2 linked regions of the Rattus norvegicus genome follow. The protein of the gene in region 2 interacts with the protein of the main gene of each other region in a pairwise test. Links are inferred from orthologs where the notes say so. Each region holds a gene or a part of one and is shown on either strand. Other genes may lie near its edges. The genes, in order: Anxa10 and Edc3.

Evidence for each region.
Region 1: the proteins of Edc3 (region 2) and Anxa10 interact in binary tests that used the Homo sapiens proteins (3 or more experiments, as listed by UniProt). The link is inferred for Rattus norvegicus from reciprocal best matches to the Homo sapiens genes EDC3 and ANXA10.

The regions. Positions count from the first base shown.
Region 1 is NC_086034.1:32,562,310-32,574,662, reverse strand, and holds the end of Anxa10 (annexin A10), read right to left. Parts: intron 9,682-12,353; coding exon 9,628-9,681; intron 9,539-9,627; coding exon 9,445-9,538; intron 8,304-9,444; coding exon 8,208-8,303; intron 6,177-8,207; coding exon 6,118-6,176; intron 5,447-6,117; coding exon 5,324-5,446; intron 2,968-5,323; coding exon 2,899-2,967; 3' UTR 2,702-2,898; downstream 1-2,701.
Region 2 is NC_086026.1:66,997,343-67,010,145, forward strand, and holds the start of Edc3 (enhancer of mRNA-decapping protein 3), read left to right. Parts: upstream 1-4,689; 5' UTR 4,690-4,772; intron 4,773-7,520; exon of another isoform or gene 7,521-7,627; intron 7,628-9,016; 5' UTR 9,017-9,112; coding exon 9,113-9,270; intron 9,271-12,090; coding exon 12,091-12,410; intron 12,411-12,803. UniProt on the Homo sapiens protein: Binds single-stranded RNA. Involved in the process of mRNA degradation and in the positive regulation of mRNA decapping. May play a role in spermiogenesis and oogenesis.

The sequences.
Region 1 (12,353 bases), on a different chromosome or scaffold from region 2:
AGTGCTGTGGACCTGTTTTCCTGTTTTCTTTTAGCCAATTATGGGAATAGAGTGTTCTGTTCTCAGATGTGTAGTTGTTCCTGTCCACTGGCTTTCAGCTGTTCCTTTGGACATGTGTCCTGAGTCTACCAGGCAGGTCACTTTTGACAGAAACGTTGGTCTTATCTCTGGTCTCAGGCCTGAAGTTGCTCCTGGGGCTGGGTTTCAGCTCTCCATGAGGGTAGCAACCTGAAGGGCCTGCCCCTACCTCTGGGTCTCTGTGTGCTAGGTGTTTTCCTCTAGAGTCAGAAATTTGGGCAGAGAGTAGTCTCCTCTAGTTTCCCAGGTGAGTCTGTCCTTCTGATGGACTAGCTCTCCCTCCCACAAGATTTGTGTGCAAGGAGCTGTTTGACCTGGTCAATTCAGATCTGGGTGCAGTCTGGACCACAGAGCTCCTGCAGCTTGAGTGCCGCTATCTTCCTGTGCCTAGAGGCCTTATACAGATTCCTCTTGGGCCAGGGATGTGGGCAAAAGTGGGCAGATGTGGCGGTCTCTCCTGCCCTGCAGTCTCAGGATTGCCCACATGTCTGGGTGATGAGCTCTCTCTTCCACGGTTTTTGGAGAAGGGAGCTGTGGGCATGAATATTCTAAAGGGATGGATGTGTACACGGCTTTTAATGTTTAGGTGGGCAATTATGTCTTATCAATAGGATCAGAGGTTATTGTGCTGTGTGTTCTTTCTTATGGCAATTTACGTTTAAGAGAATTTGTGGTGCTAGAGACACTGGACTGCCATGGAATTGAGATGTATAATTCTGGCATGGGAACTTAGATAGGTAGAGAGATTGTTGCCAGTCTCAGAGAGAAGCCTTTGGTGATATGGGATAGAGTAGAGCAGGTGAGATGCTTTGCTGACTGAGATGAAGATATCTACTATATATCTTGGGGCACTACAGTGCCGGACCTAGTGGGGGTAAAAGACAGCATTTTTTTTTATAATTTTACAGCAACATCTCCTCATATTATTCTGTATAGTACTTGATGTTCTAGTCAGAGCAATAAGACAGCAAAATGAGATCAAGGGGACACAAATTGACAAAGAAAAAGTCAAGGTATCACTATTTGCAGATGATATGATGATATGCAAAAGCAACCCCCAAAATTCTACCAGAGAACACCTACCACTGATAAACAACTTCCACAAAGTGGCCTGATATAAAACTAACTCCAACAAATCAGTAGCCTTCCTTTATACAAATGTAACTGGGCTGAGAAAGAAATTAGGGAAACAACACCCTTCACAAGAGATGTAATAATATAAAATGTATTGGAGTAACACTAACTAAACAAGTGAAAGATCAGTGTGCCAAGAATTTTAAGTTTTTCAAGAAGGAAGCCAAAGAAGACCTCAGAAAATGGAGAGATCTCCCAAGTTCATCGATTGGTAGAATTAACATACTAAAAATGGCCATCCTACCAAAATCAATCTGCAGATTCAATGCAGTCTCCATCAATATTCCAACACAATTCTTCAAAGACATGGAAAGAGCAACTCTCAATTTACATGGAAAAACAAAAAAAAAATCAGAATAGTGAAAATAATTCTTAATAATAAAAGAATGACTGGGGGAATCACCATCCCTGACCTCAAGCTATACTACAGAGCAATAGTGATAAAAACTGTATGGTACCGGAATAGAGACAGACAGGTTGATCAATGCAATAGAATTGAAGACCCAGATATAAAACCGTACACTTATGCACACTTGATCTTTGACAAAGGAGCCAAAAATATACAATGGAAAAAAGAAATCATCTTCAATAAATGGTGCTGGTCTAACTGGCTGTCTGCATGTAGAAAAATAAAAATAGATTCGTATTTTTTACAATGCACAAAGCTTAAGTCTAAGTCGATCAAGGACATCAGCATAAACCAGATTAACTGAATCTAATAAAAGAGAAAGTGGCAAAGAACCTTGAACTCATTGTCACATTCAAAAATTTCCTAAACAGAACTCCAATGGCTCACACTCTAAGATCAAGAATTGATAAACGGGACCTCACGGAACTGGAAAGCTTTTGTAAGGCAAAGGACAAATTGGCATCCTACGGATTGGGAAAATTTTTTCACTGATCCCACATCTGATAGAGGGTTAATATCCAAAATATATAAAGAACTAAAGAAGTTTACAACCAAAAAATCAAACAACTCAATCAAAAAATTAGGTATAGAAGTAAACTGAGAATTCACAATAGAGGAATCTCAAATGGCTGAGAAGCACTAAAGAAATGTTCAAATTTCTTAGTGATCAGAGAAATGAAAATCAAAACAACCCTGAGATTCCACCTCACACCAGTCAGAATGGCTAAGATCAAAACCTCAGGTGACAGCACATGTTGGCAAGGATGTGGAGAAAGAGGAGCACTCTTCCATTGATGGTGGGATAGCCTGAGTCCAGAAAACTCCTTTGAGGATGGTCACACACTGAGAGTGGACACACTGACGGTGGACGCACACTGACGGTGGACACACATTGAGAGTTGTCACACATGGAGGGTGTTCACACTGAAAGTGGTCAGATGCTTCAATGTTATAGATTCCAAACTGATATTAAGACAGTTATGAACAGACTTTCTTATTGTAGGAATTGACAGTTCATATTTAAATAAAATCGAGTCCAATGCAATGCTTTTCTTATTCCACCATATACAGTTTAATTAGTTACTAATTGAATAAGGGCTACAAATCCAGGATTACATATTTTCAATAGTAGATTTATTTTTGTCTCAGAATAATTGTAGAGATATAAGAAGATATGATTTTATAGTTTTGTTTCAGTGTCAATGACAGCACACGTTCAGCCGTCTATATCTGGTGTCTATAAAGAGGATTCCATCATCTTCAAACCCTCCCTCTTTTTAATAGTCTTCCACATCACCGGCGCAGATGGCAAGCAATGCTTTCTTATAGTGCCCTGAAGCAAAACTCTGAAAAGAAAAAAATAAAGGCACGTAAAACTCAAATCTCTCCCTGCTTCTAAAAGTCAACTGTACATTTTATAATTGCAATATAAAAGATTCATGGACCATTAGCCTTCACTAAAACTATTTTTTGTCTAAAGATTTTCTAAGTAGTATTCGAAGTGAAACATTAAAATAGTGCTGTGCTATAGTTGAAACGATATGCTTTGTATAGAGCTGATGAAAGTTTAATGTATATTTATGAGCACAATAACATGTTTTACAGTGAATCTTTTCTTCAGCTTTAGGAATTGACACGCTAATGTCACTACTATAGTAAATCAGTGTAGATTCTGGACACTGCCAATGTGTCTCAAAAGATTTGAAAATATTTATACTGTTTAATTCAGTAAATCCTATATCAAGAAATACATTTAAAATATCATCAATTATGGATGAGTACGAGATTTATGCTAGCAACATCTGCCCTTTAATGTTACGTATAACAATGAAAGGCATTCAATCATGTGAGACAGTTTTTTCTATTTCACAACGTACTTTATAAAGAGGATGTCTTGTTTTCATAAAATCCTTTCTTTTGCTAGCAAAATGTTATTGTTTATGTTTGTGTGAAAAAAGATCCACCTTAGTCTACTGGGGCTTTCGCCATCGAGGTGTCTAAGTTAGGGCAGATGGGAAATCTAGGTGACAAAGCGTTATGTGAATACTTCTTTATTGACTCCAGCCTGACATGGCAGGAGGGTCAAAGGAGCATCCTGGAGCTTCGTCTTCCCAACAAGGAGACTAGCCCTACTTGTGGACTCTATCTTCATGACTACTCTCACATGCCCATCTCCTAGCACCTCTCAGATGCCAATCTCCTAGGGCTAGGGTTTCAGTGTAGGAATCTGGAGAAACAAGCTTTCCAGCCACAGCAGGACCTTTCTAGGTATCTCACTCCCAGGTGTCGGTAGTAGAAAACCAGGGCAACTTTGTTTCTTTTTATCTTCTTCCATCAGGTCTAAAGATTCCAGAATAGGTAGCTGAACGAATGTCATTATAGAATCCATCTTCATAAAAACCATTTATTGTATTAATGCTCCTTTACATAAGGCTGTGTAATTAAGACTCACAGATTAGCAACGCGTTATTTTAACTTGTCTTCAATATGGTTAGAAATAATTACAAAGCATAAACAAGCTAGCTTATTCACTTAGAAATTGAGTTCTGACTCAGTGGTACGAGTTGATCACCACTAACAGCTTTAGGTTTTCGAGAAAGGCGTAATAAACTATTTTATCAAAGATTTAAAAAACCATAAAGTTGATTTTAACTGATACATCAATTTCTTAGAGCCATTTTGGCTCCTACAAAGGCTACGAAAGCACTCTGGAATTTATGGCTTCAATCTCTGAGGTGCTGGGAGTTATGTCTTGAATAATACAAGGAACTGAACTGTTTTTGCTTGGACTGGGAGTTTCACTTGAAAACAATGTGAATTTACAAGGTATAAATTAAGACACAGTCTCAAGTATGGCGTCTGTTCTCCTGCTCTATTCTCTCCATCCTGAAAACCATTTTGGTTTTCTTTGCTGAAGAAACTAAACATAATGATTTTATACTGCACCCACAGATTACATGGATGGACCATATATTTCATTTTTTTGCCAAGTTATATAAGACATTTAAAATGTTTTAGGGAGACCAGAATAAGAAATTGGCTTGTTCGTTTTTGAATTATTTCCTTGCCCTCTGATTGGTGAAGTGTTTGGTCATGTAGAGTTTTATGTATTCAGTAATAAATTTCTCCAAATTGGTAGTTGATGCTATTTGACTGGCTGCCTTGTTTTCTATGAGGCTTTGAGGAGTGGTGCTGGGCAGCAGTTAATACATTCCCGTAGCAAAATACTGTTTTTTTTTTGTTTTTGTTTGTTTGTTTGCTTGTTTGTTTGCTTGTCTGCTTGCTTGTGTTTTGAGAGGGTTCAAGAAGTGGATCCTAGTCTCTAAGTTGCTTTGGAGCTGAGGGGGACCTTGAAGTGTCGATTCTCCTATTGCAACCTCAGTAGATCTAGTGTGGGGGTTGCAGGTGAAATCACAGGCAAACTGCCACACCCAGCTGGTCCTGTGCTTTTCACATCAGAAGGGAACCCTGGAACCACAGTCATAGGAAGGGAATATTTTATATAATTTTCTGTGGTGCAATGACTTTCCAGGTTGATGTTTGTTTAAAGCACTGAACGCTGTGTAAGCTCTTCGAGTCAACCGCCTTGTGAGACATGTAGCTTTTTAGATACCCACAGCAAGTTGTTTCAATTGAAACTTTTATTTATGGCTCAGAAAGAATAATATGTGAGGTAAATTCAATTATGAAGAGAAGACTTACTTTGATATCATGAAAGAGGGATTTTCCGAATCTCTCCTTGTAACGTTTCCTTATGGTCATTAGATCTATTTCACTTCTGGCGATTAGAATCCTGATGACAGTTTTGTTATGGAAGCCAAAATCCTAAAAACAGCAGAAATGTGGGTAGAGAAAACAGTACTTTAAGACCTGTTCAGCATGGAAGGGCTTCCTTCTCAGTAGCGATTTGCTTGTGGGTCCACAGGACTTAAACATTGCTGTCACTGCTATGGGATGCCTGGGGCCTCCCTTCTCGGAAGTTTCAAACGTCTTTCAAGTGGAACAATGGTGACATCTGGTGGCCACTCAACGTAATCTAATGCTTTATATCAGAATATTTTTGAGTATAAATCTACTAACATTTCATAATTTGGGGAGATTACAACAACCAAAATTCTGACCAAGTTCCCTGAATCAGGGCACAGCTGGGATCAGGGCACAGCTGGGATCAGGGCACAGCTGGAATCAGAATAACTATGATTATTTGTCCAGGTCATACACAGGGAAGGCATTAGGCTGTTGTTGCCGTCATGGTGCATTTGAATGATCAGTTTAAATAAATAAAAAATATTAAGATTCTAAACTGCACGAGGTCAATATACGCTAAGTCTCAGGTGTCTTAAGTACCCATGTTGTAGAAAGCAGAGAATATCTGCATTTAATGAATTTCACTTTTGGTGTTTAACTTGCTTCCTTTTACTTGAACACATTTTCTTTGGAATAAAAATAGTAGATATTAATTTTAAATAAGTTAAAAAAGTATGTGTTATACTTACATGGATTGCCCTGTATAATTTATAAGCAAAGTAGCTTGGTTTGTCCTGAACACAACGAACTAGAGAGGAAGAGAGCAAGGAAAAATTTGAGTGACAGGATGTAATTCTTTGGAAGTCGGGAAAGAAATTGAGCACTTACATATTGTTCCAGAATCATCATGTTGCATTATAGTTTCAATACTTAGAATAATGGTAGCACTAGCCACACTCTATCAAAAAGTATAACATATCAATATTTTATTTTGTAATGACAAATGATTGTCTCTGAGCATATGGCCATTATTATTAAATTTTTAAAAATGTGGTGCCAAATATAAAATCAAACACATACAATCCATTCACCTTCCTGATTGACAACCATTCTGATAGCCTCTAAAACTGGTCTATACCAGCAGCTCTTTGATCCCTTAAAGATTCATGAATAGAATTCAGGTCATTTAAGGAGAAACTGTAACAATGTAAACTGTTTCCTCCAGTTTTAGATATTACTTGATTACAATTGTTAGGGCTCTGAGCAGACTGACACCTGTCCAACAGTTGTCCCTGTTAAATATCAGTTGAGACTGTAGACCATCAATAAGCCCCTTATTTGAAAATTTAATAGATTAATTACATGAATGAATAATAGATGAGGAACTATAATGTCTCTTCAAAATAAATCCACATTAGTATTTCTGTGCAGTCCAAGTAATTATTTTAGATCATGAGGCCATCTCTTCATCCTTATCTCATTTTTATTACTGGGACAAGGAAACCTGAGAAGTGATTTCTAGAAGGTGGGCTCCCAGAGAACAGAGGCGAGTGTTGGTATTCCGAACTTTGTTGACTCACTGTTCCACCCACATCAACCAAGTTAGAAATGAGAAGCTGCTCATTCAGTGTTGATTGACGGAATGAGCCAGATCGCTATTTCCTGGTATTACTGATGTCTGCTGTCTGTTCTCTTATGCCCACTGTTTTCTGACAATAGTTTGGGCTGCTTTGAGATTTCAATGACATGAGTTTTAGTCTAACTCTTTGCTTATCGCTGATATGTGATATATAACTGTTATATTTATTTGGAATTTGAAGAAATCTATCTATCTCTCTATGTATCTGTCTGTCTATCTGTCTATCTATCTGTCATCTATCAATCATCTATTTGTCTGTATCATCTATCTATCTATATGTCTGTCTGTCTGTCTGTCTGTCTATCTATCTATCTATACATTCATAGACAAAAGCCATCATATCACATATCTTTAGGGGTTTCATAGGATTCACCTACTCTTTTTTATAGGATGTTTGCTTAAAAATCTCGTACTAGATCATTTGTAAAAGTGCTGTGACTGATATCTCAGCTCCATGTCAAGACATTCTTGGGAATGAAAACTCACAATTGAATATTCAGCACATATCTAAGTGTTCATTTGATGGACCTATTATAGGATACTTCACAATGACTTTTAATGTACATTTTCTGCAGTCCATGCAACCAAGTCACAGAGTATATGGTAAAGTGTGAACACTTGAATAGTTTTGATGAATAAGAGCCCTGGTCTTTTCTGTAACGGGCATAACATTTCTAACAACACTGGGAAGGCATGCCTGTAGATCTCACTTCTAATTAATAATTTAGGCTTTCTTTGATGACAAGATTTATTTCTAAAGGGAAATATATTAAAGATAGTAAAAATTTAAAGAACCATCAAACTTAAAAACTTAAAAAAAAAATCACCGTTCTTCTTGAAGACAGAAACCAGTCACACTGTTAGCATTTATCTGCTCCTGAAACAGGGGTGGAAGTCAATGACTTGAAGTTATGAGAAGTCACTTATGAGTCCAGGCATCCCAGATTTCCCTTTTCTCGTATGGAAATTGAGCTCGTTCTTGGGGGGAAATAATGCCAGTTGATTAATGTTTCCAGGTTGCCAGTTCATTGAACTGAACTACTAGCTGACTGACTGTCTTAGAGTTTAGGGATCTTTCAAATAACTGTGCTGAGAAAAATGCTTCAATTAAGCTTCCACTCATGCACAGGTAATCTAGTCAGAGCCATTCAGTGCTGTGAAAGGCAAGGTTGGCTGTTCATCATATGAAATCCAGCTTACCAATTGCAATCAGTAGCTCCTGGAAGTAACCATCGTAACAGTCACTGATAGTATCCACCAGGTCTTGGCCAGAAATAGTTTGAAATTCCTGGAAAACTTCAAGAAATTGATGTGATTTGAATGGGATTTTCATAAATCTCATAAACTTAAAACAAATACCAATGAGATTACTATACATAGCAAAGGTAAGTATGTTCTCTGAAGTATTTCTCGGTCCTAATATCCATCGTGATGATGTATCTACTCTTAGCAACTAGTATAGATCCCATGAAATGCTAAAACTTGCATGAATCTTGGACTCCAAAGAACTACTATTGCTGGGCTGGGGAATGATGGTTTTCTTGAGTTGGACTCAATGACTCAAGTGTTGATTGATAGATGGGTGGAGAGCACGGTGTGAACTATTGTCTATGAGGCATCTCCAGAAAACATAAATAATAACCAGTATAAGTTTATTTGTCCACACAAACTTTCCGTTAGGACTTAAATATAAATGTTAAATACAAAAATACTCTGAGCGATATTGATGATAGGCATTGGAAGAGCTCATTTGAGAAATAGATTACCATTAGTGACTTTATTACTAACATAAAATGATGTTGAATGAAACTTCCCTCTTTAAAGAATGTACTCAGCTGGCTTTATCCTTGGCAATGTTTTACTTCTCAGCTATTTACTTCTATATAAAGTGCTACTATCATTAGTACTAATCTTTAACTGACACAAAGTAAAAGAGGCACAGTTGAACTAGAGTAGACTGTTGCTAAAACATTGATAGGCCTTTATGTTTCATTTAATTGTACTTTGTTTTTCTAAGAAGGGAAAAGGAAAGGTTGTAGAATCTGAAGAAAGTCAAGTATAGGTTAATGTGAGCACATCTTGGAGATCAATAGGCACTACTGATATCTCATGTTGTCTGTAACACAGAAACAGTAAGCTTGCTGGAGACTGTTCAGACACAATGTAGTGTGCCTATTAGGAAAGAGATAATGCATCCAAATAAGTAGCTTTTAAATGTCAGTATTTGAAAGCTATGGAATTTAGCTAGAGGAAAGAAATTAAACGATGTCAGAACTTTATCCCATTGCAGTATCATTAAATGCAACATGCTGTACAGACATAATTCGGAGCAGTAACTGGCTTTTCTACATTTCTGGGTGACATTTCCTCTTTGATCCTAGCTACTTGTATGTCATTCAATTGGTTAAAGAGTTGGAAAGAGCCTGTTTCTAGTTACTCAGCCAAAGTTGTGGGTAGCTCTTGTTGCACAGGATCATCTGCAGCATGGTTTTATGTTCCCCAGTCTTCTGCTGGCAGGCTTCCCACAGCACCTGCAACATCACACAGCCAGGAAGGAGCATTGGACAAGCCTCACTTTACCAAGAGCTCTCTTAGTTAGTGGGGAGTGACATCCAGTTACCATTGCATCCTGAGCAGCCATTGCAGGGTCAGTGTAGCCTTCCTCCCTGTTTCCCTGTGAAATAAGCAGGGATCTTCTTTTAGATGCTTTCAATACACGATACAGGGTTCTTGGGACAAAGATCCCCCAATCATCAAACACTAGTGATTCTTTATCAATCTGTCGTATTATTTGGATATTTCAAAACCTGAGGAAATGTTATGCAGTTTTGAAAGGAGTTTAATTTTGAGCTTTTCTTCCCAACAGAGGTACATAGTGAAAAAAATGCTGAGATGTTTTCCACTTTTCACCTCTCTGTGTTCCGATCAGGGTGATGGTCCACCTCTTGTGTGATGTGGTAGTAATGGGTTTACACTTAGTGAAATGATGCATGCATAGTCATGTCTTCTTTGTAAAACATGGTTTATGCAACAACAAAATCATGATGAAATCTAGGCTTTGCAAATGGGACTTTTCTCCATTCCTTATGCTATAAACATCAGAGAGTTCATTTGACATTTGACACAGAAGAAAGGAAGACCAATCAATGTAAGACCCAACAGTCTCCATGATCCAGCAAGAGGAGAGAGATGGCAGAGTGTATTTCAGGTTTTGAGTCAAAGTATGGAGGGAGAGATTACTAATTATGATAGAACATTAAGGATCACTGTCTTTTTCCTGTCAGGGAGTTTCCATGTCAGTGGACCCAGTGACATTGGAAGGTGGACAAAGGTGTGTGTGTGTGTGTGTGTGTGTGTGTGTGTGTGTTATCTATGTATGTGCATGGTGGAGATAATATTAGATTTAGTTGTCCTGAATTTGTCTCAACTCCTACATTGCATGAATAGAACCTCAATTTTGTTACCTGATTCTTATTTGGCTCAGGAAATGGTGTTGAAGCTTGAACAATGATGTTTATGACCATCACAAGGTCATTACAACGACAAAGGTTATAGTGAAATAACATTGACTAGAACTGCATGGGAGACAAGGCTGGCTGTTGTAGGGATTCTTCAGCTTCCAAGAAAGTAAAGGTGAGGCTAATTAACTTATCCTGTCTCTGACCAGAGACAGGGAAAGCATTATTAATTAACTATCTCTACATATGCAGAGTTAGTACTACGAAGCATCCACATATATCACAGACATTACAACCTTACATCGTCTGTGCAGTGTTCCAACACCTGTAATTTCATAGTCAAGATCTACAATGATGCAGATCTTTGCTATTTTTAAGGACACCATCATGGTCCTTTGCTAAGACATCCTGTAAGTGATACACATACCACACACACACACACACACACACACACACACACACACACACACACATACACACACACACAGAGATATGTATATGTGTATATGTATAAATTTATATAAACATTTTCCACCTAGTAGCATCTTGGAGAGAAGAGATGATAGCAAGAATCATGAGATTCTCAATCAAAGTAGAAAAAAGTATAAATGTATCAAAAAGATTGAATGTGAATATGTACCCATATATTTTGACTGTTCAAGGTATTGTGTTCAAGGTTAAATTTACCATATTAAATTTAATATTAAGCAATTTCTATGTTCTTTTTGCTAATTCAAATCTAAACCCATATAGGAAAGTTGAGTTATTCATAGAGAAATAAATTCACAATTTCTTTTGACTAAATTTGTAGCCCTGAAACTTTAGGAATAGAAGACAGCATTTAAAAGAATAAAAGCGACTTCACTGCCTAGTGGGATTATGGGTATTTTATCTGTAAGTCATAAACATGTTTCAGTACATCCCTAGAGGTCTTATGTCTCTTTCTCTTATTTTGGAGATAACAATGAATGGACTTAGAGTTATTAAATCAATTGCCCTAGGTCTGAGAGAGTTAAAGAAGGACAATTACTAGATGTCAGTGGCTTTACTTGCTCTGGGATCTAGTTACCATACTAGAACTCATTCTTTACAAACAATATCCTTGGGCTTTCTTTCCAATTATCTGTAATGATTTTTAATTTACCAGAAAAATAAGTGAAAATAATAGAAGCATTATATCTTCTGGGAATGCATATTATTTATTTGATGAGCTTCTCATAGTTATTATCAGTTTTTATCTTATTTGATTTTCTGCAGGTTTTGGTGTAAGTTCATCAGTTTTTCCTCACAGCACTTCATTACTTGGCTTTATGTAGTCTTTGTTCCTTTGCTTTTGTTTCATTGAAAACTCCCCAGTCTTGGGAACTGGTTTCCCTTAATATTCATTCCCTTAAAGTGCTGAATCTTGTCTCTGTGGTGCTTCGCATTCTTGTCTGTCTTTACTCTTCCTAGCCTTCTACTCTATGCTATTGATAAGGGCTTAGATTCTGTCTGTGATGTAGTGATATTCCCATAGCTGGAATCCATCACAGAATGTTGTATTATGAATTTCTACTCCAATGGCTGACCCATCATTTCTCTGTGACCCTTTTCTATGTGTACAATTCCATACACTCAACAACCAGCTTCTGGCCTACACCTTTCAGTTTTCCACCTCTCAGTGGATGGTTATTCCATATTTATTGCTCACAGTAAAAACCTGAGTTATGTTTGGTTCTTTTTATTTTGTTTCATGTTTCATATAAAATTCCCCAGTAACTAACGCAAACACAGTCCCCCAAACTCATCCAGGAGCTCTCTTGATTCTTACTATGCTGCCATGTGGCTCATAGTTAACGTTATATCCCAGTTGGGTCTAAGCTTGTCTCTATAGTTATATTCATTATGT
Region 2 (12,803 bases):
TCTGGCTGGTTACTTTGACAACCGGGAGTAGCCCAGAATGGAGGGAGAAGAGAACTCAAAATACTGGCACGGAGGTGCTCTTGCCATCTGCTGAGGCTCAACTGTCTTCCAACATGGGTTTATGACACTACATGTGGGGGTGTAGCACCTTCATTTACCCTACATAGAAATAAACAAGGTCTCCTTGTCCTTGCAAAGCCCATGTTCCTGTTTAGGAAGGGCTGAGAGTTGTGTGTAGAAAGACCTAAGAACATAGGGACAGACTTTCTGGGCAGTAAGACCAGGTTTAGAGTAAAGGAATGCCTTTTGAGACAGTATTGTGTAGTCCAGGCTGCCTCTGAACTTGCTACCAAGGGTGGCCTTGAACTCCTTAATTCTTTTTTCTGCTTTTACCACCCTACCAAGTGCTAGGGTACAGTCATGAACCGCTACACCAGCTCTTGGTCTCTTGTCTTTACTGTATAAAACGTTTCTTTCTTTCTTTTTTTTTTAAAGAAAATGTTTGTGCATAAGAGTTTTTTATTGTGGCCTGTATTTTGCTTATGCATTTGTATTAGTCGTACTTCAATAGATTTAGATAATTCGCTTAGTGTAATAGAGAAAAATCTAACTCAAGTATCCAGAAATATATAGGAAAAACGTACCTGAGCTAAATAAAAATATTACCTGGAAGTACTCTGTGTAGAGAAGTTTTGAACCTGAAGTTAAGCCACATTCCCGTCCTTAAGCTCGACCTTATGCTGTGTTTTCCTGTGCGGAGGAGAGGGCTGGCTATTGAGAGCTGGAGAGAATGGCACATTATCAATGGGGTCTCCTCTAATGTGTCACACTTTGATAGAAAGTACTCTCTGGAACTCTAAAAAAGAAAGACTGCTTTCAGAAGCCCCCAAAACTGGTGAAAGGGTCTGATGCATAAGCACATCATCTAATTCACAGTAACCAGGGCTTTACTAGCCCTTCATAGGGGAATAGGAATTCAAGAGCTGAGGATGTGGCTAGGTGGGGAGGAATACTGGAAAAAGACCCTAGGTCTTTGGGGGACATTTTAACAGAGCCTTCCTTGAAGGATGAGAATCAATCTCTCTAGCTTTCTCTTTATTTTGTATTGGTTCTTTGTGAATTTCACATCATGTCCCCCGATCTCACTCATCTCCCCATCCCTTCGTATCTGTCCTCCACCCTTCCAGTATATATATTGGAAACAAAACAAACAGAACCCCATCACAGAAGCTTCAGTGTGTCATATAGTATACCCTTTTGCCCACACTTCTTTGCTTGCAAATGTTTATTGCAATGAATCATTCATTGGTCTAGTTGGAGGCCTCTGGCTTCTGCTGCACTATCAATACTGGATGCTCTCACTAGGACTCCTTTCAGATATCCTGTTGTTGCCTCGTGTCATGGAGATCCTGCAGCTTTGGATCTGCAGGGCCAGCCCCTTCATGTGCTCCAGCAGATCATAGATGGGATAGATGTTGGGGTGGGGCAACTCAAAACCCCGGGTGATAGCTAAGCTGGTCAACCTGTCAGCTCTCCCATAACCACACCGCCAGGTTGAGCTCTCCAGCACTGCCTCTGGCTAGCTCAGCCAATGCCACAAGCAGTGAGGGACAGGGCCAGCTCTTCTGGAGAAGCATTCTCTTAAGTGGCTCACACTTTTTATGCAGAAATCCTCATCCCTTAGTAATGTCAGAATGGCAGTGTCAGGTAGTGGTGAAGGACAGACCCACAGAGCTAGAAGCTCCTCTAACATGCTAAGAGGACATGCATCTTGGGATGTGACCCTTCCTAGTATCACCCCATTCAAGCCCCTTCTTGAACAGCTGGGAGTGGACAGTAGTTACCAGACTTATGCCTTTTGAATAGAGTAAATAGACAGTAAATAGAATAAAAAACATTCACCAAGAGTTTCAGGCCACGATAAAGAGCAAACCCAAATCAGAGGGAACAAGGGTACCCAGTTGCCATTCTCATGGTTGTGTTAAAACAAAGCAGTCGCAGCTGGAAATGTTGCTCAGCTGATGGCTGTCTAGCATGCCCAAAGACTTGAGTTCTGTGGCAGAACACAGCTGTAATTCTAGCAAGCAGGAGATAAAGACAGGATGGTCAAAGGTTAAAAGTCACTCCCAGCTACAGAAAGTTTGTAGCCAGCCTGAAATATGGGAAATTCTGTCTTTGAAACAACAAACAAATTTGTATTATATGCTATAATGTAGAGGAACACATAATATATCCAGAATAGGCAAATTAAATAGAGCCAAAAATTAAGGAACACAGGGCAAAGGGAATCCGGAGGTGTGGGTTTCTTCTACACAGAGAGCACGTATTCTTAAATCAGGAGTGATGCTTGTATAACTTTATGTACACTAAAAAGCAAAACAAACAGCAGCAGACCGGGGAGACCTATGGGTTCAAGAATTCTTGCTCCTCCTCTAGAGGACCCAAGTTCCATGACCCTTGTAGAGCAGCTCACAATTGTCCATAACCCCAGTTCCAGAGGAACTGACAGCCTCTTCTGGCATCTGTGGGCACTCTCACCCATCCTGACGTATGCATATACCCCCCTCAAATACCCACATACCCACAAAAAGTAAATCTTCATTAAAAATACAACAATCAGGGGTTGGGGATTTAGCTCAGTGGTAGAGCACTTGCCTAGCAAGCACAAGGCCCTGGGTTCGGTCCCCAGCTCCAAAAAAAAAAAAAAATACAACAATCAATTGTGCAGGGTAAATGGAAGGGAAAATACCATTTTAAAAGTAAGGAATCTGGACAGCATAGGTAAAACAGTTTATAAGCAGGGCAGTGGTGGACACACCTTTAAACCCAGCCCTCAGGAGGCTGAGGCAGGCAGATCTCTAAGTTTGAGCCAGCCTGATCTACAGAGTGAGTTCCAGGTCAGTGAAAACCTGTTTCGCCATGTACTATCTTGCTCTGCTAATATCCTAAATCTTAGAGTCCATGGGCAATTGACAGAAATGAGCATTCTAACTTCCTAATGCCCAGATTGAGATCCAAGGCTTCTTATGAAAATAATTGGCCACAAATCTTGGACAGAAGTATTAATAAAAGACAAGCCTGGAACGCTTAGCCATGCCAGATGGTAAAGATACTATGAAGACTCCAGGGATAGATTAAGTCACTCGAGACACTCTTAAACAAGTTTTAACTCCTGAAGATAAGGCAGTTTGACTATTGATAATAATTTCTATTGTGTAGACACATGCTTTTAATCTCAGAATGTAGGCAGAAGGATTTCTTTGAGTTTGAGTCTAGCTAGGGTTATATAGCAACAAAGTGACTAAAAATTTGTCCCCACAAATTAAAACCCTTCATGAGCTCATAAACATTTATAAATTTGTTTTTAGATTTATTTTATGTGTATTGAATGTTTTTGCCTACACCATAAGCCTGCTGGTCCTCTCAGTGGTCAAAAGAGAGACCCTCCCTACCTGGAACAGGAGTTATGGACAGTTGTGGGAAAGCAATGCTTTTAACTTCTGAGCCTGAGCCATCTCCCCAGCTTCTCTTCTCTCTCTCTCTCTCTCTCTCTCTCTCTCTCTCTCTCTCTCTCTCTCTCTCTCTTTCCTTCTCCATCTTCTCTATCTTTTTTGCTAGCTCTCAGGAAATACTTCCCATAAGATTTAATCATGCTTAGTGGTGGCACATGCCTTTAATACCAGCATTTGAGAGAGAGAGGCCAGCTGATCTACAGAGCAAGTTCCAGAGAAGGAAAGAAAGAAAGAGGTTTCACCTCAACAATGTTTTTCTTTTCTTAAGTACCACTAATTTCTCAACTCCAGTCAAACAGTATTGAGAATCCCAGGAAAGCAAAAGTTTCACTTTTGTAGTTCTTGTTAACCACAGCCATTTCTTCAGCCCCACTTAACCAGAACCATAGAATCAAAGTAACAAATGGCCCAGATAGTCTTTAAATTTTTCCCTGAAACTTCACAAGCCAGGCAATCTGCACTGCTCTCAACATTCTTATCTTCCAATCTCCTACAGAAGAGCCCACTGAACTCTCGTGGCTTTTCCAGTTCAAAGTTCCAAAGTCCTTCTGAAACATGATCTGGCCTGTCACTATACCCTACTCCTAGTACCAATTTATCTTAGTTTGGATTTCTATTGGTGTGATGAAACACCATGACCAAATACCAATTTGGGGAGGAAAGGGTTTATTCAGCTTACACACTCATATTAGTATTCACCATGAAAGGATCTTGAAGTCAGAAGCTGGTACAGGGACCACTGAGGAGTGTTTGTTACTGGGTTGCTCTCCATGCTTGCTCAGTCTTTTTTTTCTCATTGAACCCAGGACTGCCAGCCCAGGGAGGGCCCCACCCACAATAGCCTAGGTCCTCCCTATCAGTCACAAGTTAAGAGAAATGCTTTACAGGCTTTCTTACAGCCAGATCTTACAGAGGCATTTTTCTCAATAGAGGTCCCCTCTTTTCAGATAACTCTAGCTTGTGTCAAGTTGACAAAGTAGCCAGCATATTTTCCTTTCTTTCTCTCCTCTCTCTTTCTTCTTTCTTACTTCATTCAGATTTCACACATAGAAAACATCTGGCTTAATTTAGCGGTCTTGCCCATCAACCCTTAACAATCCAACCACTCAAATTTCCCGGGAGCCCCGCCCCTTGGCTCCTCCCAGTGTCAACGGAAGTGACATCATTCGCGTTGGCCCAGACGCAGGGGCGTTTCCGGCGGAGGTGGTGGCTGCTCCTGTGTCTGTGGAGGTGGGCGTGAAGCCCCTCGGCGGTGTTTTGGTGAGTGAGGACGTCTTGGTGTGCTGTGCAGCGCAGGCGGGGGCAGGCGGCCAGACAGTGAACTTGAGGGAGGCCGCGTGTTCGTGGGTGCTCGTTGGCTGGCGCTTCCGGGTGGTCAGCTCGGTTTGCTTTTTAGGCTGCGGGCTTCCAGGCCTTGTAGATTTTTATACTGGCGGACAGAAACTGCGGTGTGTATGTGTGTGCTTTTTAGGCTGCGGGCTTCCAGGCCTTGTAGATCTTTATACTGGCGGGCAGAAACTGCGGGGTGTATGTGTGTGTGTGCGCGCGCGCGCGTGCGTGCTCATGAAGAGTGTGTGTGTGTGTGTGTGTGTGTGTGCGCGCGCGTCCCCGCAGGAACTGGTGGGGGTGGGCGCGTGGGCCCGTGGGCGCATGTGGAGTACTCACTGAGTTAGGTGTAGCCCAAGGATTCGTGTTGGAGGCGGGAGGTAGAGAGATTGGACGTGATAACGGCTTGGACTGTCTCAGGCCAGCTTTGGTTGTCACTGTGGTTCTCACAGCTCTTTGCCTTCATTTCCTTTGACTAAAAGGTTAATAGCCAGTCGTGCGAGTGCCGCATGGTGGCTAATAACTTGTCACGGGACTGGGATGTGGAAATAGAGATACTGATGCCCTGCCAGTGCACACACTTAACTTCCCTCGATGCACTGCTGTGGTTGCCCTTTCTGTGCTGTGACTGTAGTTATTAGTGATACTTGATCTGTGGTTTGAGTGTTGGGGTGTGTTGGGGTGTGTTGGAGGAATAGCCCTCATCAGCGTAAGTAATTGATTTTCAGTGTCCTGATTGCAGAGTTAAGAGGAACTTTAGTCTTTCCACAATATAAATGACTATCCTTGGAGCCCTCAGGTGGTACCCAGTTTTTTGTTTTTGTTTTTGTTTTTTTTTTCTCCGGAGCTGGGGACCGGACCCAGGGCCTTGCGCTTGCTAGGCAAACGCTCTACCACTGAGCTAAATCCCCACCCCCCCACCTTTTTTTTTTTTTTTAAAGAGTGATCTATCAGTGTTTTGGGGCACAAAATTACTAGTTGTTGGTTTCTCTGAAGTAAAAGTAGTTGCAAAGAATGACCTTTTTTTGGTGACAGGCTCTCAAGCCAGAGCTACATAGTGAAGAGCCTGTTCAATTGTCTATGTAGATCAGACTGGCCTGGAACTCACAGCTATCCTCTGTCTCTGCCACCAGAATGCTGGGATTAAAGGCTTGATTTTTGACTACGAAGGATTATTGGTTTTGATGTCATGGAGACATTCGGCCACTTGGGTCCCTGTTACTCAGTAATACTGCTGCTTTAGCCTCTGGAGTACTCAGATTATAGACATACACCAACACACCTGACTCTGCTTGTCAGTTTCTGATAAAGTCAAATGCAATTTCAACTCTGATTTTCTATGTAATATTAACCAGAGCACATGTAAAAATGTTACTTAAAATGGAACTCAGAACTTGAAATAATTCAACTGTGTATAATAGGCTGGCTAAATTCATTGATGCTTAAACAAGATGGTACAGACATGGTAATTAACTTCTCCCAAATGCTAACAGCTGAATTTCACACTTGTACTATTGATTAAAGGAAACCAGACACATGAATCTGCGTGATTCTACTTTTGTGAAGTTTGAAAACAGCATAAATTTGTCTTTCATGATGTCAGAATAGCAGAGACACAGTGAGCCCTTTGTGATGTTTAGGTCGCAGCTCCGTTGGGGATTACTGTGAACATTTTTGAGCACAAGATGTCATGGTGTGTCCCTGTAATCACAGTACTCAGGAGGCTAAGGCAGGGGGATCTTGAGTTGAGCTTGTCTGGGTTACATAGTGAGTTCATGTCTTGGGTTGTTGTTGGTTTGTTTTTTAATGTGGAGTGATATACTTTTATGTAGATTATAACTTGATGGAAAAGTACAAAATACAAAATAAAAGGCCTCAAGATTTGCCCTGTGCTAGATACGTAATTCAGTGACAGAGGTTATCTCGAAACTAGCACAAGCTCTGTATTTGATCTCCATCAAAACGCATGCATGAGCATGTACACACACACACACACAGGTCAGCCAGGCATAGTGACATTAATCCCAGTAGCCGGGAGATACAGGTAGGCAGATCTCTTGAATTTGAGGCAGACTGGTCTACATAATGAGTTCTAGGACAGCCAGAGCTAAACAGAAGACACCCCCCAAAAAAAGTTCTTTTGTAGCTCCTGTCTATCTTCCTGCTTCACAAGCCCTAGCTTTTTAAAAAAAAAAACAAAACCTTAGTAGTGTGTGGGTAAAGAAAAATGTTTTACTCTTTGTTGTTGTTGTTGTTGTTGTTTTCAGTGTTGGGGAATAGATCCAGAATTCATGCACACATTCTAGGAAAGCATTCTCCAACTGAGCTGTGTCCCCAGTCCTAGGAAATTTTGGCTTATGTTCTTTCCTCTGAGCCTGGTTTTTCTGTGTAGCTGTGAATAGCCTAGAGCTTGCTCTCTGGGACAGATTGGATTCAGACTTGCTGCAATCCTCCTGTTCCAGCCTTTCAGGTGCTGGGATTCCGGGCATGCACCACCACACCCAAGAGGTAGTTTATAGGATAACCCATTTGATTTAATTTTCAGTATTTCGTCAATGTATTTTATAGGGGAATTTCCAATGAAAATGGACAGTTGCACATCAGTATAGAAGCAAGTAAAAACTTGCATTTAACAACTAAAAGCCACATTTTCCTTTTTTCTTTTCTTTCTTTCTTTTTTTTTTAAATATGGACCAATTTACAAATTTGTGTGTCATCCTTGTGCAGGAACCTTGCTAATCTTCTCTGTATCGTTCCATTTTTAATATATGTGCTGCCAAAGCGAGCACAAAGCCACATTTTCTTAGTGCTAACATTTTGATTCAGTTAGCATGGTATAAATTTGAATGTAGAATATCAGGGCCTTAAAAATACATATTAACTGGAAAAACAAGAGCTGCTCTCCATTTTGTTAAATTTTAGTTGGTTTTTTTTGTTTGTTTGTTCTTTTTTTAGTTTTTATGACAGCTTTTTATAATGCTGTTATCTAAAGCAGGTGCCAAAATAAGATTATGGAGTATAAATGATAGAAAAGGAAATTGATGCTACCCTAACATAAAGTAGGCAAAAGCTGACAAGGAATGGAAACAAGTCTACAGTAGGTGCCTTTGTTGTTGTTTGTTTGTTTTTGAGATAGAGTTTCTTTGTGTAGACCAGGCTGGTCTCAAACTCCTGCCTCTGCTTCCTGAGTGGTGGGTGATGGTATTAAAGGTATGTGACACTACCGCCTGGCTAATAGGTGTCTTTTATAGATAGTAATTTAATTAATTAATTTATTTATTTATTTTGGAGCTGAGGACTGAACCCACTTTAATTTTATTTATAGTGACTTATTTAGTTAAAATTTTTATGTACAAAAGTTTACCCGAGTGTGTTCCTGTGCATCAGGTGTGTGCAGTGGCTGAGGAGGCCAGAAGAGGGCCTCAGATTCTCTGGAACTGGAGTCACCAGCACATGTGTGCTGGGAATGGAACCCGGATCCTCCAGAAGAGCAACCAGTGTTTAACTGCTGAGCTCTCTCTCCAGCCCCTTTTGTTCAGCCTTTTAATTTTTTTTAAAGTTTTGATGGTGCTAAAATTTAAACCTTGCTTGTGAGGTAAATAGCATTCCACTGCTTAGTCAAATACTTTGTCTCTCTTTGAAAGACGTTGCACTGTTACCTGCCCTGCCCTGGGCTCTGTAGACCAGGCTGGCCTCAAACTCACAGAGACCCACCTGCCTCTGCCTCCCGAGTGCTGGGTTTAAAGGACTGTGCCACCACCACCTGGTATCTACATGGTCTTTGCATACGTGTATCAATATTGCATATTAATATGCACATTCCTACTGATGGTTTTTGTTTTTTTAGATAGATTCGCACTGGGTAGTGTGAGCTACCTGGAACTTACTCTGTATACCAGCCTGGCCTCAACTTAGATCCACTTGCCTGTTTCCCGCCAGCCTCCCAACGTTGGGAATAAAGTTATTTTAAGCTGGGTGTGGTGGTACCTTTCACCCTAGCACTCAAGAGGCAGAGACGCATAAACCTCTGTATGGTTGAGATCTACATAGTAAGTTCTAGTTCCACCAGTTACACTGTAAGGCCTTGTCTCACAAAATAAAACAAATCCAAAACAAAGGTGTGTGCACTTACACCTCACTTCTTACCAAATGCTCGTCTTCTGTGTGTTTGTTTCCAGGCTTTATCACCTTAGTGGCAGAGTGTTATCAACAGCACTGAGCACAGAGCCTGACGTACTGGTTCTGCACGGAGCCTTCACATCCGACACGAGGCAATGGATTGGCTAGGCAGTATTGTGTCTATCAACTGTGGAGATAGCCTGGGCGTCTACCAGGGAAGAGTATCAGCAGTGGATCAGGTCAGCCAGACCATTTCTCTTACTCGGCCCTTCCATAATGGGGTGAAGTGTCTTGTACCAGAAGTCACCTTCCGGTAAGTGTCCTGACCGACGTCCTCCAAAATCCAGCCTGGTGGGTTAGGTGCTGGAGTCGAGGTGATTGACAGTATCTTCTTGCCTGGGCTGTTGGAGTTGAGTCTTGTCAGAAAGGAGAGTTCAGTCTTACAGGCCTTAGAGTTCTGTTGTTCCTCTCAGTGGAGACTGGTGTAATACAGTCATCATCCTGTACTATCTCTTGCCAGGCTTGCACAGGACTCAACTGCCAAATTCAGAAGTGCCCCTTTCTCTTTTTTTGTGGGGGGTGGGGAGTTTCAAAAATTGGGGCTTTTACGGGTTTTTTTTTTGTTTTTTTTGGTTTTTTTTTTTCTTTTCTTTTTCTTTTTTTTCGGAGCTGGGGACCGAACCCAGGGCCTTGCTCTTCCTAGGCAAGCACTCTACCACTGAGCTAAATACCCAACCCCACGTTTTTTTACTTAAACACCAAGACAAGATTGCAGTATGCAGCCCAGGCCAGCCTGGAACTCCCAGAATTCTGCTCGCCTCTGCTTCTCTAGCTATTTTAGATATGTTAAAGTAATCGTAATATATAGGCATAGAAAGTAGATATACAATAAAACATCTATTGTTATTGGACCATATAGAATCTTTTATATAATCTTTGGTATATATAGAACTTTACCACTTATAAAAGGTGGATGTGCTTACTTATTTTTACATAAAGAATGCAAGATTGAGTTGGCAGAGGTAGTGCATGCCTTTAATCCCAGTACTTGGGAGGCAGAGGCAGGCAGGTATCTATGAGTTCAAGGCTAGCTCAGTCTACAGAGAGAATTCCAGGACAGCCTGGACTAGACAGAGAAACCTATCTCAAAACAACAGCAAAAAAGAATTCAATTCTAACATGGCTGAATATTTGATACTGTAGTACACAGAGTATCCTCTTAATACTTTGATTTCATAGTTGTCAGAGGAATGTGGATTCATACATGTAGCTGAGCTCTAGATACTTTGTCTCCCGTCTGTCCCAGGTGGGTGGTCTAAAAGATACCTCAGATTGAAGACCTGCAGCTGAACACGTTTATTTACAGGTTTCTTCCTCGGGAGGCCTGGTCATATTATTGACACCTTTCACCAAAGTTAGACGTTTAAGACTTGGACTGGTGACATGGCTCAGCAAGAGAAAGTGCTTGCTCACAAGCCTAGCAGCCCGAGTGCAGTCCCCAGAACCAGCTCCAGCACATTTCCTCTGACTTCCATGTGCACACTGTGACACTCTGTCCCCTCCATCTATACCCTTCCCCCATGCAATGAATGAATGTAAAGAATCTTAAAAAATTAAAATTTCTCAATGTGAGAGACTGCATTAACTATGTAACACATGTGTGTCTGGTGCCTAGGTAGTCTAGAAGAGGGAGTGGGATTGCATGGAACAGGAATTACAGACAGCTATGTGTCCTCTAGAAGAGCAGCCAGCCTTCTTTTTTTTTTTTTTTTTTTTTGGTTCTTTTTTTTTCGGAGCTGGGGACCGAACCCAGGGCCTTGCGCTTCCTAGGTAAGCGCTCTACCACTGAGCTAAGTCCCCAGCCCCTGCAGCCAGCCTTCTTAACCTTTGAACCATCTCTTCAACCCAAGGGAAACATTTTTTTTTTCCTTTTCTTTTTTTTTTTTTTGGAGCTGGGGACCGAACCCAGGGCCTTGCGGTTGCTAGGCAAGTGCTCTACCACTGAGCTAAATCCCCAACCCAAGGGAAACATTTTTTAAAACAGGGTCTCAAAAGTATAACCTTGCCTGACCTGAAACACACTCTGTAGACCAGGCTGGCCTTGGACTCACAGAGATCCGTTAGCTTGTGCCACCATGTCCAGGGTCCAAGAAAACAAAACCTTAAAAAGGAAATTTAAGAATCATAATGAACGGGGTTGGGGATTTAGCTCAGTGGTAGAGCGCTTGCCTAGCAAGCACAAGGCCCTGGGTTCGATCCCCAGCTCCGAAAAAAAGAAAAGAAAAGAAAAAAAAAGAATCATAATAAACTTTTTCCCAAATATGATGATCTAGAGAGTACTCTTAGAGTTTCAAAGAAAATCCCCATCAGGAGCTGTCCAGCACAGAAAAGCCAAAAACAGGTGGAAGAGCGACTGTATCATCCTGGCTGCCTTGTAACTCTATGTAAACCATGCTGCCTTCAAATGGTGATGATTGGAGGTGGCGATCCTGCCTTTGTCTCCTAAATGTAGGATTCTGGGCAAGAGCTGCAATGCCCTGTTGGTTCCTTCCTCTTTCCTGTTGCCATGGAAAAGTCTATTGTGCTTATGATTATCACCTTACCTTCCCGATAGCCTTCCACAAGCATTTCTCCTTATGTACTACCGTAGAGAACATTTGCAGTTCTTCCTGTGGACAGTGCCAGATTTTCTTAGTCTCTGACTCTCTGGGTGAGATGTCTTTCACCCTAGCGTCCTCTGCATGTGTCTTTTCCAGTGCGCAGACTGAGTCCCTTAAAGGAAGTACTGTGTCTCTGTGTAGCTTGCTCATAACCAGGGCTCACCACATAGTAAGGGCATTGTATGTTGAAAAGCAAATGGGTGAAAGAATTTAAGAAAGCTACTAGCATTCTGGAAATCTAAGGAGGCTATAGAGCTGTTCTTAACAACTGGGTCTCTAAAGTAGTGTATGAGTTGCAAGTTGGTGGCTGGGCATGGTCTGTAGATGTCCTGCTACCTTTCTTAATTTCACTTCTGTTAACCCTGAGTTACTGCAGTTTTGCAGAGTGCAGTTTCTTCCTTAACCCCAGTTTCATCTCTACCACTTTCCTATTGCTACTATAATTTTGAGACTTGGACTTTTGTGTGTTTCAGGGCAGGTGATATTACAGAATTAAAAATCTTGGAGATACCAGGTCCTGGAGACAACCAGCAGTTTGGAGACCTTCATCAGACAGAATTAGGCCCTTCTGGTGTTGGGTACCAAATGAGTATCAATCAGAATGGAACAGGCAAGGTGGTCAAGAAGCCAGCCTCTTCCAGTAGTGCCCCTCAGAGCATCCCTAAGAGGACAGATATGAAGAGCCAGGACGTTGCCATTTCTCCTCAGCAGCAGCAGTGCTCAAAGAGTTATGTGGACAGGCACATGGAGTCTTTGAGTCAGTCCAAGAGCTTCCGTCGTCGGCACAACTCCTGTAAGTACAGTCAAGGTGCTGTCTTTTGTAACCTGGTGTTTCAGGCTGTAAACACTTACCTACTGTTGCTCCTTCCATGAGTCCGTGATTCCTCATACAAAGGGTTTCATGGAGATACAGTGTGTTTCTGCCATTCTAGGGCCAGTCCCTCAAGATACCAAGGAAAAGGAAATGACTTATTAGAGGTTCACCCAAGCTTCTTGCCCACTTTGTCACTTTTCTCCCTTCAGGAAAGGTCTTGGATCTGCACCATATTCATGTTTTAAATCTCATAACTGTTGGGGTTGTGATACCTGATTGACTCTACTTGGGGTATTCCAGCTAATTTCTTGAGTAGACTTTTACTTAGAGAGGAGGGGCTAGTGTAGGCATTGCTGTTACCTTTCATTTCTA